Saccharomyces cerevisiae S288C: one gene and its partner. The protein of the gene in region 2 interacts with the protein of the main gene of each other region in a biochemical or structural test. Each region holds a gene or a part of one and is shown on either strand. Other genes may lie near its edges. The genes, in order: YPT32 and GYP6.

Region 1 (3,266 bases), on a different chromosome or scaffold from region 2:
GCCATAAACTATTTTATACTTTCTTTGTTTTTACAAGTGGGGGAAAGAAAGAGCGACAACCGATTTTTCTAACCTTCTTGGAACCGAGAACGGTAATTTCCGTAAATAAAACGCAATTACTGTATCGAGCGAGTTTGTTTTCCGAAACACGCTCTAATGTAGATTCGAAAAAATAATGATATCAAAGATGAGTAGGCCAATATGAAAAAATAACAAAAAACTTAGCAACAGAAATTGAATCATTGTCGTACCCCATCCTTGCGTACGTAAACAGCCTTCCTTCTCCTGCCTACCCCTCACGTCGTCTCGGATAAACCTTCAAAACCCGCAATTTCGGAAAAACTTCCAATATAAACCATGACGAAATTTGTATCCGGGAAGGTACGTGAAATACACAGAGCGAACGTTTATAAAACCGTCTAATTCTGCTCATGCGTGCGGAAAAAAACATACACGTGTGTTTTTAGACTGCACAACAACAGAATATTTAAATCGTAAAAAAAAAATCATATTCTTATCTTCGGCTATTGCAAAATGCAGGCGTCAGGAAAGGTCTATTTAGAAAATGTATGTACGTTAATACATTTTTTCTTGCGTGCAACGAAGGTTAGTAATAAATAACTTGGGAAGGTATATGTAATTGATTATATTTATAAAAGCATTATTAACGGGGGTTATATGTAGACAGAATATGCATGAAACCATGCGACCTTAGTAGGGCACAAAATTTTTAACAACAGTTGCTGGATTTTTTCTTCTTGTCTTCCTTTGGTGCCGGTGTTAAGCTGATGGTAGGACCCTTTGGAGCGCCATTAGAGCCCATGTTGTTGGTACCCGACCCGCTTAAGTCTACTTGATGTTTGCTTACCATTTGGAAGATGGCTACGATCAGTTCTCTAAATGCTTTATCTACATTATCACTATTTAAAGCACTTGTCTCAGTAAATAACATTTGGTTTTCCATTGCGAAATTTTTCGCTTCATCGGTTGGTACTGCTCTTAAATGAGCCAGATCTGATTTGTTCCCTATCAACCCAACAGCCACGTTGTCATCTGCGTTCTCTCTCAGTTCGGTAAGCCAGTGGTTGCAATTTTCGTATGAACTTGATTTGCTTATATCATACACTATAAGTGCACCTACAGCACCACGGTAGTACGCAGACGTGATGGCCCTGTAACGTTCTTGACCTGCCGTGTCCCAAATCTGTGCTTTTATCTTCTTGTTTTCAACTTCAATGGTTCTTGTAGCGAATTCCACGCCAATCGTGGATTTGGATTCAATGTTGAATTCATCGGTTGTAAATCTCGACAACAGATTAGATTTACCCACACCGGAGTCGCCGATAAGAACTATCTTAAATAAATAATCGTAGTCGTATCCGTAATCTTCGTTGCTCATTCTTGGAAAACAATATGCTTGGTTCGCTCTTTATCACCACGCTTTTCCTCTCTTTCCAGCGCGAACCATGCAATGGCCAGCTTTATAGCTGATTCTTTTATTTGTCTTTATTGTGTTGCGCGTTCTAATGGAGGGCGCGCCGTACTATATTATATTATATTATGTTACGCTGCATTCTTCTACTGCGAGCTATATATATGTCAAAAGCTGAGTTTCTCAAGAGCTCTCAGCTTCAAGGCTGCACCATCGGCAGAAGTGTCATTCTCGATTGCCACTTGGGCTCTACTTTTCTCCAGTCCTTCCAGCAACATGCACGCCTTGCAAATGTTATTTGACGACAGATATCCACATCTAGCGCATCTATTGCCGTCAACAAATTTGACGACTCTCTTTCCAGCGTTAGATTTTTTAGCCTTTAATGCCAAATTTTCGCCACTTTGGATGATGTCTATAATGCAACTGGGCCTCACTGCTTCCAGATTCTTCATGTATTCTCTCGCAGTGCCCCTAAACGCTTCTGGGGCATAGGTACACTCAGTGGAAAAATAATCCAGCTTCATGTAGTGCGCATACAGGACAATTTCCTTTTGGTAAGAATATTTAAATGGTTTTGATCTCTTGATGGGAGAGCCGCTACTTTGTGTGATAATCGCAGTCGATTTTTCCAATCTTGCTACGTCACCACGTAGGATATTCATTAGTACTGTCTCTGCCATATCGTCTGCATTGTGGCCGGTGACAACGTGAGATATGCCCAGCTTTGCAGCACCACGGTCCAATGATTGTCTTCTAAAAACACCACAATACGTGCAACTGTTCCTTATACCAGCAACGGATACAATCTCATCCATTGTCCAATCATAGAGGTCCTTAAAGGAAAAAATCTCCAAAGGAAGGCCATACTGCTGCTGATTCCTTTTCACCGTGGCCAAGGAATCATCTCTGTATCCGATGATTCCTTCGTCAATACTCAACAGTACAATCTCAATGCCGTAATCGTAACGGTCATTCAGAAGCTTCAGCATATGCGCTAACACCGTGGAGTCTTTACCACCAGAGGCCCCCACGGCTACTTTTTCTCCCCTCTGAAACAAGTTATTTGCTACAATAGTGTTATGGATCTCCGTCTCGAACACGAGGCAGAAGCATTGTTTGCAAAGTTTAGACAGGTTTTTGGGTCTTCTAATGAGAGCCTTTCTTGAATGACATAGTTCACACAACTGTGATACCTTCACTTTTGTCGGTTTATTGACGGGATCTGAAGGAGCAGTAAACGACATGACGGTTCCTTTGCTTTACTCTTACCATATCGTCTCATCGCCAAAATTTTTCAATTACTAGATTTACAATTTTTTTTTTTAGTACAAATATACTCTCAGGATTTGTAACCCGGATAGTAACTCATTAATTCAAGCACTGTTGTTAAAATGTCTAGCCTTCTTGTTGGCTATCTGTAACCTCCTACCAGTGTTATCGACGTCATCTTCAAGTGCTGTAAGTAGCTCATTCTGTGTTTGCAGCTCCTCGTTCATCTCTAAGGCCAATCCACGTTGTGCCTGGATAATTCGGTGCAGTGCAACCAACTCTTGTTCTTGATCGCGCACCATTTGCATCTGCCCCTGTTGCAAATCGTTATTCGTTCTTCCTTGAACTTCCGTGGTTGAAGAGTTGTCACTGGTGGCAACCCCCAGAAGTCGTCCACGGTCCTGAGCTATGTTTGCTGTACCAATGTCATCGCATTCCTTGAGCAAGGACCTCAATAGAGCGGCGCGACGAGTCACTTCCGTGCTTGGAAGAGACTTCTTTTGCACATCCTGTTCTAGTCGCTCTCGTAACTTGTGGAGCTTCGTACGTGCCCTTAGTGCTC
Region 2 (4,001 bases):
GATGTGAATTGGAGAAAGCACACATTATCATGGCAAAAGGGGACATCAACACCTGTAAAAATCAAGTACAGGAATGTAATCGCACATACTTTAGATGAGAATGAATGCGCCCCAGTCCCTCCAGCTGTCAGATCCTATTAATTCTTATTTATTTATTTATTTATTTTGGAGGGCAAACTTATTTATTGATCTGGCAAAAATGATCTTTCCCTTTTTTCTTATTTTTCTCTCTATCTCTCTCATTGATTCTTGGTCAATAGTACTCGTTTACTGTCAACTTACACCTTATCTATTATGCTATATAATTTTATGCAAGACATTGAAGTACAATATACGTCGAGCTGCAATATGCAAAAATATCAGAGGGAAACCAGCTCATTAGGAAATATGACATGTGGGCTATCTGTTTGTTGGTGGTAGCTGGGTTTTTTTTTTTTTTTTTTTGATTTTGTCGTGCGGGTGTGCAGGCTGGGATTTCAAACAAATAACAACGAGTAATTGACAAGAAAAACTTATTGGCTTATTTTCTTTTTGTTCTTCAAAATTGTTTGCCTTACCCTCTCCCTCAGTTTGTTTTCGAGTGATTGTCTATTAGGATCAATAGTCAACTTTGCTGTTTCCATACTTAAAACATCACTAGTCTTTATGCCGAACTTCGCATTTATAAAAGTGTCGCAAATCAATCTCATATCGTCGTAATTTTTTCCATACCACAATTCACATAAATTTCCAGTGACCTTACACAGGTCTAAAAACTTTTCATCATCTTTACTGGCATCTTCCTTTTCAAAAATTTTCTTGAAATGCAAAATCAATTCAACAAATTCATCGTTATTATTCGTATGTTCATAGTCACCTTGGCTCACTAGTTCGTGAAGCTCATCGTAAATGGATAACAAAAGGGTGATGATAGTGCATGCAATGAAAATATCCAAGGGATAATTGAACGTCAGGACGTGGTCCCAAACGATTAGCACATATTTTAAGGGTAATTCTCTTAAAAATAACAACCTTGTCCATCGGATGAGCCAGATTAGGTTGGAGTGAATCAGATGGTCTACGTTTTTTTTCTTCCCGCTGCCCGTTTTTGGTGGTTGGTAAAAAACCTTTGAAAACAAGTCTGGCAAACAAATCCTAAAGATTTTCGTGAATACTCTCTTATCCCAGTTAATCAAATTTTCTTCGTTATAAAAAATCGGTTCGATTTGGTTCATTAGCTTGTTAAAGATAATCAGAACGTTTTGCAAATCGGTATTATCGAGATCTGTACCGTGATATAATTGCAGATAAATGACGCTTAATATTTCGTGGAACCCTTGTTTATACTGTAGGTGTTCGCTTTGATGTATAAGCAGGTAATTGTACAAAAGTTGTCTCATTTGAGCATGAACCTTGGGTTCCTGAAATATATCGTCAAGCATTATCCTTGAGAGGTCCAAATCTATAATTTCCAGAGTTTCCCTCAGTGTCAACGGCTTTTCATCACTTCCCTTGGACAAAGAACCTTTAGTTTTGTCATTGTCATCAGACAAGGGATGTTTTTCAACAGCCTCGACGGGAGTCAGCCTCCTGATTCCCACTGAGGAGGAAACGTTCGAGTGCAAGACCCTTTTAGGTACATTTGCATTATGATTTTCGTCATAGTTGTCGCCATCTGCCAGCATAGGCACTGGCACCAAGCCGAACTGGTTAAGGTCCAAACCTTTAAAGTTATCAGTTAACAAGCAGTTGTTGTTTTCATCACACAGAAGCAAAGCTTTCCAGAGCCAGCCTCTACTATTTTCTTTAAAGATAGAGTCATGGTAGAGTTCACCTTTCCAAATTCCCTTCTGCACCAGTTGGTCTCTTGTCTCGTAGTGGTCAATCGCCCATTGTAAGACATCCTTCATGGTTGCATAAGCGAAAAAATACAAACGCACGACAGCTAACCCTCTCTATGTATGCCAATTCTCTTGACAACTCTCCCCCATTGTTCTGAAAAAGGTAATGAAATTAAACGCTGCTGTACCGATTATGGAAAACTCAATGGAAAAATTGAAAAAAAAAAAAAAAGGAACTAGTAATGCCGTAGGAGAAGCGGGTAACATAATATCCGGTTTTCCTTTACGACCGCTTACAGGCCTAAACCAGCGCACCATCCAGTTACAATAACACTTGGAGCATGCGTACACGTGTGCGTATTCTACGGCTGGCATGGGCAAAATAAGACGTGGAATTTTTCTGTGGTCAGAACTTTGCGTCAGTAAATAATTCAAGAAAAAATAATAATTATGTCGAAAAAAAAATAGAAAAAAAAGAAAAAAAGAATACTAAAAGGTGAGTGTTCAGGAAAACCGCAAGCCATGTTTGTTGATTATTCCGGACTGGAGCGTTACACGGATATAAATGCATCTTTTGGTAAGTTGGTCAACACTTACTGCTGTTTTCAGCGCTGTGAAGCCATCAGCGAACAATTGGAGATTCTGAAAAGTCTAGTACCAAAGTGCCACGACATTGTGGCACTTACTGACGAAGACTTTGCTAGTGGCCGTACTGCCGGACTGACGCAGAAATTGTTTGCTATGGCGATGACCCTACACCAGATCACCGACTGTATCGACCTCCTGCAGAAATGCAACACCATAATACCCATCGAGATCGCCAACCCGGCTAGCTTTGAAAGCGGCGCCGCGACGGCGCCGCTACGTCAAAGCTATGCTAGGCTCTTGGATGACTGGTCCCACTACATGGGCCCATCAACGGTAAAACACACAGGCTGTACCAACCGACCCAAGTGGAGATTTCCCTGGCAACAGTCACGGACTATCATCATCCCCATGCTGTTTATTGGCGAAACTGCAATGAGCACCAGGGACCTAAGGTCTGTGCTGCATGATTGTGAGATCAGGCACGCGAGCGAAATGCCGCTGCAGCTACTTTGGACGTCGTCACCGGAGTTGGTGTACGCCACACCGCATGTTGACGACTACGACATTTGGTCGCGCTACGGGTCTGATTACAACATGCAGATAGAGGACGAAGACGAAGCATCAAAAGGGCGACAGCGCAAGTGTGTGGTGCAGTTGGAGGCACTGTTGGGTGCGCTACCTACTACGGACCCGTTGTTCCAATGGTAGCCCGGGCCTTTTTTTTTTTCATCAGCTTCTCTTTTAGGCCGTCGGCCCCGTTCGATGTTCACCCGTCCTGGACAGCTTGCTCTCCCCCCTTCCTCGTGCTGCGCGACTGTTTACGTTATTGGCTTATTGTATTGTTTTCGCATCTAGAACGTTCAGGTTCAATTTACGCAACGGTGTTTCACTCGAAGCATCTGGCTGTACAAGCAAATGCTGCGTTCTCATTCTCCTTTATATAACAAGCTTCTGCCTTAAAGCGTTCATATGTACATACATATACACCACTCAGGCACTCGCATAATCGCACTTAAATACGCAAAATATACAAGATAGCCCTACAACTGCTCCATGGACTCCAAGGACACGCAAAAGTTGCTTAAGGAGCACCGAATCCCCTGCATCGACGTTGGATGGTTGGTCAGGCCCAGTGCCTCCACCAGCAAGAGCTCCAGACCAGGGAAATCCGAGTCCAAGGCCAACAGTGTGGCTCCTGACATCCAGATGGACACTGCTCGCCCGCCCGTTTTCGAAACGTCTGTAGACTCTTCCAGCAGCATTCTTTCTTCAAACGATAAGGGACGCCGTCACTCCGTAGCTGCGAGCTTGCTAATGGATAATCAGCGTGCTAACGCTGGGTCTACATCCGTTCCCACAAACATTCCTCCCCCTAGGGGTAGGTCGAAGTCAGTGGTGGAGACTAACCTGTCTAACGTTGAGGCTGACTCCGGACATCATCACCACCACCGCCACCACCATCACACGGAAGATGCTCCTGCACCTAAGAAGGTCGGATTCTTTAAGAGTCTGTTTGGCCATAGGAAGAAGGATCAGGAACAACAGGAGAAGGAACGAGAAAGGAAAGAGCGCTCACCCTCTCCGACTCACGTG

Evidence for each region.
Region 1: the proteins of GYP6 (region 2) and YPT32 form a complex in vitro, tested with the Saccharomyces cerevisiae proteins (2 studies listed by BioGRID).

What each region holds. Positions count from the first base shown.
Region 1 is NC_001139.9:91,925-95,190, reverse strand, and holds YPT32 (Rab family GTPase YPT32), read right to left. Parts: upstream 1,400-3,266; coding exon 731-1,399; downstream 1-730. Other genes in the region: NCS6 (Ncs6p), read right to left, coding at 1,600-2,679; VAM7 (Vam7p), read right to left, coding at 2,809-3,266.
Region 2 is NC_001142.9:357,788-361,788, forward strand, and holds GYP6 (GTPase-activating protein GYP6), read right to left. Parts: upstream 1,890-4,001; coding exon 513-1,889; downstream 1-512. Other genes in the region: succinate dehydrogenase SDH9, read left to right, coding at 1-141; YJL043W (uncharacterized protein), read left to right, coding at 2,343-3,116; MHP1 (Mhp1p), read left to right, coding at 3,462-4,001.